Cricetulus griseus: one gene and its partners. The protein of the gene in region 3 interacts with the protein of the main gene of each other region in a biochemical or structural test. Links are inferred from orthologs where the notes say so. Each region holds a gene or a part of one and is shown on either strand. Other genes may lie near its edges.

Region 1 (4,360 bases), on a different chromosome or scaffold from region 3:
AGTCTGTTCTCAAGGACTGTGCCCTCTGACTCAACAACTTCCTCTTGCAAATCTCCTCCAGCAACCACCTTTGGACCACGTGTCTTCTTGGGTTGTAGCCTGGGCCAGTATCAAAGGCTACAGTGGGTCAGAAGCAGCACAACTGGGGCCTGTCCTCTCTACCTCAGACCCTCAGAGAGCCCCTAGCACCCATGTTCCCGCCCCTGGGCCTATATTCTCATCTAACTCCCTCTTTCTTAGAAAAGGGAAGGACTTCAGCCCTGGAATGGAAGAGGAAGCAGACAAACCGAGCCTGTAGGGGAAAGGCATCAAGGCCAGAGGGTTTGGCAGCACCCAGTCGCCACGCTGGGCTGTCACCTCTCCTCTTCTAGCATGTATGCACGGGTGGGTGGATGGGTGTTGGTGTAAGGGCGCCTTTGAAGGGAGGGTCTGGCAGCTTAGTCCCCATCGAGTTTGCATTCTTTTGGAGGCTGCACACAGATTAAGGTTTTCAGCTGTTCCTGTCCTGTCTGAGCAAGATGAAGGCACCGGTGTTCCCAGTCGTTCCTGTGTCCCTCACTTTGCCAGTCCCTGCCCTGCTCTCTCCCACCATCTCTACTCACCAGTACTGTTCACAGCCATCACCTAAGGGTCACATCTTGCACACAAACCACACCTCTGAATGGACACAGCAGGTGCCTGGGCTTCTTGGAACCAGAAAGTCTCATCTCTGCCCCAAGGAGAAGTAGCCGATCTCTGGCAGCCTCAACCAGCAGCTGTCAGCCAGCCCAGAGCCAGAGTGCTCTGGGAAAAGTCACAGGTCACAGTTCACCCAAGAGCAAGCTGGATGGCCCCATCCAGGCTCTAAGCTGACCCCTGAGCAATGGGAGTCCTGAAGGGGCCCTATGGGAGGGGGGTGCCATGTACTTCACAAAGTTTCATTGTCGGAAGTTTGCTGGTTTGTTGCTTCATTCTTCTTGTCAGACCCCAGCATCCCAAGGTGGATCCTTGGAGAAATTGTAGGTCAACTAAGATTATTCTCATGGAAACTGATTCCAAAGGGAGCATGGAGGAAGGGCTGGGGGGTGGGGGGGATGAATGAATGAATGAGTGCATATGGCTCACAAATATTCACAAGTGTAGAGTGTGAGGATGCTAGGAGGATGCTAGGAGCAGGATCCAGGGTTAAGGAGCAGGGTCGGATGAGGATCTCCTGTTGCTCATAGGCTTTGAGGTGTAGCCCCATCTTTAGCTTCTAAGAAGCCCATCAGAAGTGGAGGTTTCCACAGCCTCATCCTCACTGCCCACCAGCGGCTCCTCCTCCCCCTTTAGGTCGGGACCTGGCCCAGACTTCAGCTCCTCCAGTACTAAAGAGCCCTGGCGAGATTTCCGTCTGCTAAAGAAAGTGGTGAGGGTGGGCCGCTGGCCGGACCCCTCTTTTTCCAGAGCTCCAGAGCCCTTGTTGCCCCCTGGCCCTGATGACGCTGTTGCTGTTGCAGCCTCTTCATCAGGAACCCGGGCTGGCCCAGCCCAGGCATCCACTACCCCATTGCGTTTTACGCCTCTGCTCAGGGTCAGGGCCCCGGTCCTCCGCTTCTGCCGCCGGCGCCACAACAGCAATAGCGCAACCAGAGCCAAAACTACCAGCAAGGCCACAAGCATGGGCACTAGTAACATGCCGCTTGATCGCTGGCGTGGCGTCCTGGTGGTTATTGGCTCTGGGGTAGACATCATGGATATTTTTATGCCAGAAACGGGGGTGCCACCCGCTACACTAGAGCTCTCCACAGAACTGGTTGCTATGGTGGCAGGGAGTCCATGAGTCTCACTGGAGAGACCCAGAGACCCAGTAGTCATGGTGACAGGGGGACCACTGGTCTTGAAGCTTACTGTTGTAGTCACAGAGGATCCACTGGTCTCACTGGTGCTTGTTGTCATGGCGACAGGGTGTGCACTGGTCCCTTTAGAGTTTTCTAGAGAGGTAAATGTCACAGTTCCGTCTGTCACAGGATTGGCTATTGTGTCAGGAGGGTCACTGGGAACATCTGTTGATTCTGGAGGCTTCACTGATGTCTTGTTGGAAACTTCCTGGGAGGTTGTAGGCTCAGGTACAGGGATGCTCATGCTAGCACCAACGGGAACCCCAAGAGAAGACAATTCAGGAGTTCCAAAGGGGGTTGAGGAGGGTGGGGGTGTGATGTGACTCCCGATGCTGGCAGTCTCTGCAGGGTCCACTGTGTCTGTCCTAGTAGAGATTGTTTGGCTGACACTCAAGGCCTCAGAGATGTCTGGGGCCTTGTTATGTGGGGTAGCAGGTGTCAGCGTCGTTGTGTTCTGCAGATCTAGGTTGCTGCTCGTCACCTGGATCCAGAAGCCCCCGAAGAGGAGGAGAAGCAGGGTCATCTTCAGAGCAGGAGCTAGGACCTGAATGTAGGGAAGTTACCGAACACACAGGGGTTGGGGAGGGAAACCTGGCCAGCCCCCTCCTTCTGCCACTTCCCTGCCAACTGCCGAGCCCAGCTTGTGGTTTAACGGTTTCTGAATTTCTTTTTTTTTTTCCATTCTTGCTTTTACGATTATCAGAAGCAGCAAGGGGACAGATGGTGGCAGTGACTCCCCACCCTGGCCCTGGCAACTGATTCCAGCAGCAGCCATGTCCTCCTGGCCGTCACTCATTCTGTTCCAGTCAGTGGCTCTTGACCCCCTTTGCCCATCACCCTACCCATCTTTTCAAACTATAGAAACATCCCATCATCCTCTGAGCCCCCAACCCCACACCTCTATTATATCTAGTCTTACCAGCTTAATGGACATGGCGCAGGGCCAGGGTGAGCACCTCCAGCTCCTCCTGAGGCTTGGTCGGGACTGGGACAGACTGAGCCCCAGGGGGAAAGGAAGTGGGTCTTGGCTCCACCCACCCAACCCCTGCATCCTGCCCCACCCATTCCTACTCCCACAACTGCCTGGGGGACCCAGGAGCTCAGTGAAGGCATGAAGGGATACTCTGGTCCAGAATGACAATTTTTAGATTTTCACTGGGGTATAGAATGTCAAGCAGTCCCAGCTGGGAGATGAGAAGATATGCTAAGGACTAGGAACTGAGAGAGAGGAGGATATGGAAGGAGAACCTGTTGTCCCGCAAGCCATTTGGCCAGGACCTGAGGTGATGCATTTCCTGCTAAGATCTCCCAGGAAGTAACAGGGCCAGGGAAAGCCCGCTGACTTTGCTCATACCCCTGAAAGGTTTTTCAGCCTGCCAGAGTCACAAGGAGCTGAGGTCACTCCAGTGGCCATCAGTTGAGGCTAGTATAACCACTGCATATAATATGGTCTTAGAAAACCATGCGGGCTGGAGAGATGGCTGAGAGGTTCGGAGCATGGGCTGCCCTTCCAGAAGACCAGGTCAGTTCCACGCACCGGCACAGTGTGACTCACAACCACCAGATATCCGGAGAGTCTGACGCCCCCTGCTGGCCTCCAAGGGCACCAGCACGCATAGGCACAGACAAGCACTCATGCACAGAGATGAAAATAAATACAGATTTACTTAAAAAGAGAAAACTTCTAGAAATACCTGTACTATGAAATTAACTAAAAGTCTTCAGTTGAGTGTGAACTGAGGGTTTGGGGTCATTTCTGCAATGCTGAAGATCAATCCCAGGGCCCTGGTTCCACACACATTCTCTACTCTGAGCCACACCCCCAGCCTTGAATAAGGGGCTCTTTGCATTCTTCCTTTGAATGATTTCTGTTGCCTGACTTGAGCTAGCAAATGGATCCTTTTGGTAGTTGTCTGTTTGGGAACCTGGCCTTGCCTTCTGAAAACCCATAACTGGCTGGGCATGGTGGCGCACACCTTTAATCCCAGCACTCGGGAGGCAGAGGCAGGCGGATCTCTGTGAGTTCGAGGTCAGCCTGGTCTACAGGGCGAGTTCCAGGACAGCCAGGGCCACACAGGCCTGTCTCGAAAAACCACAAGAAACAAGCAAAAACTCATAACTGATTTTTATATTGTCAAAACAGTTCTGTGCACAATATAACAACAACAAAAACAGACAAAATAAACAAACAAACAAAAAGGGGTCTCTCCTCTGAGGAATCCATACCACTCTCTCGGTCATGTCTTTCTTTCTGAATACTTTTCTTTCTCTTAACCATAGTGTTTACATATCTACATTAAAAAATCTCAAAAGTAGAAAAGAATTTTAAAAATCTGTAATTTAATTAACCCAAGTTCTATAAGAACAAAATGACTGAAATAGGTCCCTGGCAGAGTCTAGGCTCCTACTGTAGCTACTCACTGCTGAGTTAAGGTGGCATGAGACTTGGGGTCAGAAGCAGGACTACTGTGCTCACAGAACAGCAGGCAGTCTAAGCATTC
Region 2 (3,646 bases), on a different chromosome or scaffold from region 3:
CCTCATTGAATACAATACTGAAAAAATGAGTCATTTGTATTTATCAAAATCTGTTATTTGTGGTTCTATTCTGTTTTCTCACATTGCCTATGTTCTTTAAAGTAAACCAGAAATATATAATCATTACAAACTACTAAATACTTACACTTCAGGTGCCAACCTAACCAAAGTGGTTTAATTTTCTATTGTATTTTTTCTCAGTTGGGGTTATTGAACCTTGTGTATGCTAGGTAAGCATTATAATTCTAAGACCATATTAAAAGGTTTCAAGCCAACTATAGTATACTTATAATAGAAAACATTCATTTGATGGAAAAAGGGATAGGTACCAAAAATATCCAGTAATTCTGATACATAAAAGTATCAGACCTTAAGTAGCTTTTTAAATGGTCAAGAACTTGAACTTGACAAGAAAATATTTTCCTTCTGTGTGTAAGGAAAGGGAGGCTGACTCATTTAGGTGAGGGGTCATCCAGAGGAAGACTGAAAAGGTCTAAGCATGGAGGAAAGAAACAGGGATAACACAGTCCAGTTGTCATCCAATGAAAATGAGAGACTTAGAGTATGTTAGGCTCTGTGAAAGATCAGAGGTCACAGACAATGACCCTGTTACAGCACCACATATCCAAAATTAGGTATGCACGCTCACGTGTAACAATTCTTTCAAGATATCAAACAAGAGTATCTGGGGGTTTATTGAGCTTTAAGTACACCCACTTAGCACAGAGAAGAATCACATTTCATTTACAAAGCAAGAAATATCAACCAATTTGAAAATAGCTGTGATAACACCAGCTAAAATCTGCTGCCAAGTATCTGGTAACTTAAAAGAAAAATGACCTCTTACCTCTTTCAGTTTATTGTGAGAGAGATGCAGTTTCTCTACTCTTGACCACACGTGTGGCTTTTCACTCAAGTCCAAGGTGCTGATGTGGTTATGGCTAAAGAAGAGCTCCCTTAAGTTCAGAGACTTCCAGTGTGCAGGCCCTGGCAGACACTGGATGTTGTTGTGGCTCATGTCCAAGGACCGCAAGCTGGAATGACATGGTGTCCCTTTGTAAGCAAAGTGGAGGTACTCATAGGACACAAAGTAACGTCCCCAAGAATTTTACCAGACTGAGAGTTAGAAAATGATTTTAAAGCTACACCACCAACATATAAGCATGAACTTGAGCTTGTATTTCATACAGTGCTTAAAAGAAAATGCATTTTTCTCTAGAGTGGAGGTATAAGTGAATAAGGATTATGTAGTACGAATAATAAAAAACCAAGAGACAGATATTGAGGTTCAAGCTGAAGATCAGAAAATCAAAGCAGCTAAGCCACTAGAGAGTTCTTACCTCTACCAAGATAGGCGATCCTGTCCTCAACATGACTGGAGACTGAATCCTACATTAGACCATGAGATCCTGTCTTATGTTCCTCTCTAGTGCTGGGATTAAAGGTGTGTGCCACCACTGCCTGGCTTCTATGGTTGTGGTTAGCCATTCTAATCTTCAGCAAGCTTTATTAGATCATAAGCAATATATGACCACAGGATTCTTAGAAACAAAGTTGGTTACTTTGTCTGATTTGACGAAAATGTGGTAGCAACGTGATCGTAAGAATGGATTTTGGGTAGCTTTGCCAAAAAGAAAAAAAAATACTTGCAGAGACAAATATATTAACCCTTGAATATCACATGATATTCATTCATTCATCAAAGCATCATATGGTACCCATATTTACAATTTATATATGTTCGTTAAAGCTCGTTTTTGAAGAAAGGAAAAATTGAGGTCCAATTTCCCTTTAGACCATACAACTATCTCTCTCAAAATGAGGAAAAGATACGTGTTTCACAAATGCTCATGGGGCATGAGAAATTATGACTAACAAGTATACAAATGGTCATTGAGATCCTGTCTCCTCTCAGGGTTTATAATTGTGCATTCCCCGATAGCCTTCTAGGGATGGCTTTCACTCATCATTGAGTGGTTTCTACAGGGCTGCTCCAGGTTAATCACTAGAGCTGTGGGTATGCCCTTCTACCAGCTAGTCTCAGTGAATATGAGACAAAGTTAGGATAAGTCTGCCATGCAACCTGCTTGCTCTCATTAATCAGTGCTTCTCAGTTTTCAGAAAACCTTACTTCTCATGAGTACATGTGTGTGGAGATAATAAAGATGGTCAGCAAATAGGGTGGGCTTTCATACACACACTGATCCCTCCCACTCAGTGTATTGAAGCTTAATAAATTAATCTTCAGCTAACACAGCAGCAACATCTCCTTAACAAGAGTTTGTATTTTTTTAAAAAAGTGTTGTGTTCTTCTTTAAAATGTACTATATATTGTTCTAGTTACCATAGAAATGTTCATGAAAATTGAAAGAAGAATCTGGCTATGTTAGAGATTACATATATCAGTCTAACTGGAAATGCATTTCAGACAAGCAAGAAATACTATGATCTCCCAAAGTAGTATTTCTTTGGCTCCAACCAGGACTCTAGCTTGTCCAAACAAGAGAAGATTTAAAACAGGAGCACAAAGGTGGAGATGTGTGCCTGCAGATGGTGTTGAAGACATCAGGAGCTGGTTTACACGTTTACTCCTCTGAGAAGACATCATCTTGATGCCACTTTGTTTCCTAGTAAATGATCTTACATAATTGGCCTTTATATATTTTCAGAAATATGTTTAAAACATAAGACCATGTTTATTTAATTGAAGCCAATATCTAAGAATTGGGAGTGTGAAGTTGAGGCCACCAACACAGATGAATTATGACTTTGGGAAGATACTTAATCTCTCTAGTGAAATTTAAAAATGGAAATGACAGCAGAAGTTACCTAATAAGATGATTAGGAAGACCAAAGAGGAGGTTCATGTAGCACAATTAAAACACAGAGTAGGGTTTTGAAAAGTTAGATTTACGCTAATGAGTTTATGTTTATCTGGCATAGCTCTGTGGTTGCTATTTGCCTATGATGTTCATAAATCTATGATTGTTTTATAATCCATGAATAAACTAGTTCTTAAAATGACAACATACTAGGAACTGAATTAATGCTGAAGTTTGGGTCTTCAATGAAATTAACAAGTCCCCAAACCCCAGCCACTTGACCCTGTCCAGATGTGGAACTATATATATTCTCCAAATATTCACAGAAAATGTCACTGAAGTGAATGAAATTTCAAGGTTCAGGCAACAAATAAACCCCTGTGAGCAGCTAAAACCTGAAAGAAACTAACATTCATCTGACAAACATTCATCCCATGTCATCTTATTTAGATATAGGACGCTGCAGTTAATTATTCTTGTTTTTCCTACACAAAGCATGTGTAAGTTACTGCAAAGGTTGAAGAGATGGATCTTTTCTCTAGTAAAAATCAAACCCTCATATAAAAAATAAAACACTGAAGTAGGTTTATAAATGCATGATATATGTGCTCATTTCAAATCATTGCTTTACTTCTAAAAGTTATGCCACAACTCATTCAGCTTCAGAAGTAAATAACAATGAACTTACTGCGGAAGAATGAAAATTGCTTCTGGAATGCATGTGAAACCATTTTGAGATAATTTTAGGCTTGTTATGGAAAAAGGTAAGGCAGGCATCGCAGCTAAGGAAATAAAACAATATAATGGATGTTTACAATCATCTT
Region 3 (4,120 bases):
GTTGAGCGGTAGAAGCAAGAGGATTGGACGGACGTTCAAGCCTAGCCTGGTACACGTGAGACTTTGCTTTATAAAACCAATCAAGCAAATAGATAAATTATAACACAATAAATCATAAAGCTCGAAATAAAAACTCAAAACCCTAAAAATTTACAATCTCATTCAGGTTGTGGTGATACACCCCTTTAAGTCCAGCACTCGGGAGGCAGAGGCAGGGGGATCTCTGTGAGTTCAAGGCCAGCCTGGTCTACAGGGAGGGTTCCCGGACAGGCTCCAAAACTACAAAAAAATCACAATCTCTTTTTAGGGAATCCAAGAGTTTCCAAAGTTTTTGAGTTTTTTTTGTTTTTTGTTTTTTCTTAAGTTAAAGATGGGTGTGAAAGGGAAAGGCCTTCTCAAAAAAAAGTCTGTTTATTTTATGTACATGAGCGTTTTGACCACATGTATGTATGTGCACCACATTTGTGCCTAATGCCCAAGAGGCCAGAAGAGGGAGTCAGACTCCTGGATCTGGAGTTACACACAGTTCTAAGCTGCCATGTGGGTGCTGAGACCTGAACCTGAAAGAGCAGTGTGAGCTCTTACCTGTTAAGCCACCTCGCCAGTCTTAGGAAAGACATTTTCATTTAGAATTGTCGTCTCTCCAGAAGGCTAGACAGGCTGGTCATATTGTAAAAGCCTATGATCCTAGCATCCCAAGGGCTGAGTCAAGATTGCAAGAGTTGGAGGCCAGCCTGTGCTACAAGGTAGGAGGACCTTGCTTCAAGAAACATCAAAGACCAGACTAAGGAAAGTAGCAACCAGAAAACAGTCCAAGAAAGACTTATTTCAACAGATTTAAAGCAGTCTGGCCCGGCTAGAAAAAAATTGGTTATAACAGTAAAACTGACCATGGCTAATACAAATGAAGGCATTTGATTTTACACTACCATTCTGGATCTTTCACAGTTTAGAAATGGTTAAGTACACAACAGAGAAGGAGTGGAAGCCGAGTGTGATGGTGGCTCAAACCTGCAATCCGTGCACTTGGCAGGATGAAGTAGAACGACTTCCAAGAGTTTTTAAGACTGCCTCAGGCTACAAAGAGAGTTCTAGACCAGCCTGTGCTAGGATAAGACCCTCTACCGAAAAAAAAGCAAGCCAGGTGTGGTGGCTGTCAAGCCTATAAACTCAGCATTGCTAAGACGGAGGCAGGGAGATTGGCAAAAATTCAGGACCTATCTGCATTACATGGTGAGTCCCAGGCCAGCCTAAGTTAAAAGCCCAGCAGCAGGATACATGTGATTTAAAAACAGAAGGGCAGACTGAGGGGAGGAAAGAGACCTGCTAGAAGTCCTGGGGTGAAGGAGACAACAGGAGGGCAATGGAGGAGGCGAACCAAGTATAATTTCACACACACACACACACACACACACACACACACACACACACACACACACTCATAAAGTACAATTTTACGTAAGACCATGAGACTCTGTCTCAAAAAATTAAGAAATAATAAAAAAAACTTTGTGTTCTTTAAGGACAAGAGTTCTGAGAAGGCAAGGCCGGCTCAGTAGTGAGGCTGGAATACAGTATGGTGGGAACTAAACCTCAGTATAGACACAAAGACCTCTCAATATCTATCCAGTCTCCTCTCCTCCCAGGGGCCCTCATCCCTTCCTAAGCATCCTAGTCACTATCTCAGCTCCACCAGGTTCAGGCAATCCTAGGGAGATGGATGGGCTAGGAACATACAACATAGGAGCCCAGCAAGCTCCTTCACCTAAGAGACTCAAGCCACGGTGGACATCGGGCCTTCTTGAACAAGGACCTGGCGTGACTTGCACAAAAGCAAGCAGAGCTCATTAGTCAAGCACACACCCCTCCCCCACCCCTCCCTACTGGGCATCCGGCCCCCCTAGGCCTCACTCCCTGGAGGCTTCTGCTCTTCTAGCAACAGCCAGTGGGGTGGAGTCCAGATCTCTAATCAACCACTACACTAGATAGGTGTGGCCCCCACAGGAGAAAACCCATACCTCACAGAATAGTCCTAAGGGGATAGAGAGGCACTGTGTCTATCAGGGATTTCGTAGAGGAAGAGAAACCTGCCCTCTCTTCCAGTAGGTTGAGTGGGCCCCTCCACAGACTCGTGCCTAGTGAAGTGTTTGCACCCCTGGGTAACAGGAAGTAGCCTAGTTGTTGAGTCCCATCTACATCCCCCTCATCTCCCAGGGGAAAGCAGTTTGAACTGAGGAGCGGTCTAAGGGGGCAGAGCAGGAGTAGGGGAGAAGGGCGGACGGCTATGGGAAAGGTGGATGGGCGTGCGGGATCCGCCCTGAGCAACTTCCTCTCTCCTCCCTGCTTCTCGGTTACCATGGGGCTCTTCTGGGACAGTGATAGCCTTGCTCCAGAAAGGCGCCAATTCCTGGGCCGGGACAATGTTCTCAGAAGTAGAGTCCTCTTCCCAGTGCCCAATAACCCTGAGTTTCCACTGCCTCATCCCAGAGGCGGGGAACTGGACCCTGAGAAAGGCTGGCCCCTCCTTATCCACACTTCTAGTCCGGACACCCCCTCACCCTCTAGAACACTCAAACCAGGACCCCACTATCCTCTCCTTCTTAGGGCCTTGAGGGACAGCCCGGCATCCCCGGCAGGCCTGTGACCAGGCAAGCCCACAGCCATGGGACTGCAAGGGTCAAACTGGAGCCCTCGGGACCGACAGCCCCTGTCCCCAGCACTCACCGTCTTCGGCATGGTGGCGGCAAAGGCGGAGGAGTTGGTGAAGTTTGGCTAGAAACTGTCGGGCTGTTCTGAGCGCGCGGTACACTTCGGCAAGGACTTGGGAGAGCCGGTTGCTCAGATTGGGTCCCACTCTAGAGTTGGGCGACTGCTCCGCTTCCTGCTAACGGGCCACGACTTTACAAACCCCACCCAGGAAAGAGCCGCCCTCGTTGCGCCGCTCGCTCCTTTATGTGGCCGGGCTTCCGCGCCTCTCCCCGCCCTCCCACCCGCCTGCCCGCCGCTTTGGGCATCGCCCCGCCCAGCCCGGCCCAGCCCAGTGCAGCCACTCCGGCCACGTGGGGGTCCAGGCTGGGGCCCAAACACACCAAGGACTCCCACTCCCCATCCAGACCCACTCTGCCCTCTCCCACCTTTCTCACTGTCCTTAGCCCTTCAAGTTTCGACCCTCAGACTCCGCCCCCAGACTGAGCCAGAGCTTTAGTGGGGGGCCACACCCTAGCAGATGCTTATGCAGTCCTTGACTGTGAGTTAACCACTGTTGGGGAACCCGTTGCCCATGAGAGCTGCCCTATACCCTCTCTAGGCATCCTTGCTGATTAGAAAATTCCCCCTGGGTACTTTTGAACTCTTTTGCTCTGTGACTTCCAACTATGTTTCATCTAAGCTCCCTGGGAACACAGCAAATCCTCTGTTGTCCATAGCAGCTCCCCAGAGTTCTGCTACTCCTCAGGAAACTTCTCTGGACTAAGTTGCCTCAGCTCTTCCTAAACACTTCATTCCCATCTATAGGGCTCGTATCACCTGTCACATTTCCTCTACATTATTTGGGCCTCGTGATCTTCAGATTCGAAATCTTTTCCAAACATCTGTCTTCTAAATTCCCTTTCTTTCCTCGTATTCCCAGTCTCAACTCTACTCAGACCAGTAAGTACCCTGGTCCTTTCTTTAGCCCCACCCTGGCACATTAAGGGTTTTTGATTATTTTTTTGGTTTGGAGCTGGCCTGAAACATATTATGTAGTTTAGGTTAGTCTTGAATTCAGTCCTACTATGTTACTTTAGGTTAGTCTGGAACTAATAATCCTACTGTGTCTACTGACTTTCACGTGTGTGCCTCCATTTCTATGCATTCGTTTTTTAACACGCGGTAGTATCAGTAGTCCATTGACTTGGACTCGTCATCCTTCTGCTTCTGCCACCCTGGTGCTGGGATTACAGGTGTGTGCCCCAACACCAGATTTGAATTCACTTTTTGATAAGGGTATAAGTCTCTGAGATGAGATATACCCTCTTGTTCTGGCAACTGAGCAGGAGCATGGATTGCGTGTCTTTTGTGAGGTAAAGTACTATATGCCTCAATGATTGGGACTCAACTACAGAGTTGTGGCAAGGGCATT

The links.
Region 1: the proteins of Msn (region 3) and Spn form a complex in vitro, tested with the Homo sapiens proteins (2 studies listed by BioGRID). The link is inferred for Cricetulus griseus from reciprocal best matches to the Homo sapiens genes MSN and SPN.
Region 2: of the proteins of Msn (region 3) and Lrrk2, one has a biochemical effect on the other in vitro, tested with the Homo sapiens proteins (9 studies listed by IntAct). The link is inferred for Cricetulus griseus from reciprocal best matches to the Homo sapiens genes MSN and LRRK2.

The regions. Positions count from the first base shown.
Region 1 is NC_048596.1:73,613,929-73,618,288, reverse strand, and holds the start of Spn (leukosialin), read right to left. Parts: upstream 2,934-4,360; 5' UTR 2,911-2,933; coding exon 2,779-2,910; intron 2,404-2,778; coding exon 1,228-2,403; 3' UTR 1,226-1,227; coding exon of another isoform or gene 1,105-1,225; 3' UTR 1-1,104. Other genes in the region: Qprt (nicotinate-nucleotide pyrophosphorylase [carboxylating]), read right to left, coding at 1,105-1,225. UniProt on the Homo sapiens protein: Predominant cell surface sialoprotein of leukocytes which regulates multiple T-cell functions, including T-cell activation, proliferation, differentiation, trafficking and migration.
Region 2 is NC_048595.1:388,266,301-388,269,946, reverse strand, and holds part of Lrrk2 (leucine-rich repeat serine/threonine-protein kinase 2), read right to left. Parts: intron 3,605-3,646; coding exon 3,511-3,604; intron 1,035-3,510; coding exon 848-1,034; intron 1-847. UniProt on the Homo sapiens protein: Serine/threonine-protein kinase which phosphorylates a broad range of proteins involved in multiple processes such as neuronal plasticity, innate immunity, autophagy, and vesicle trafficking.
Region 3 is NC_048604.1:74,065,323-74,069,442, forward strand, and holds the start of Msn (moesin), read right to left. Parts: upstream 2,941-4,120; 5' UTR 2,737-2,940; coding exon 2,725-2,736; intron 1-2,724. UniProt on the Homo sapiens protein: Ezrin-radixin-moesin (ERM) family protein that connects the actin cytoskeleton to the plasma membrane and thereby regulates the structure and function of specific domains of the cell cortex.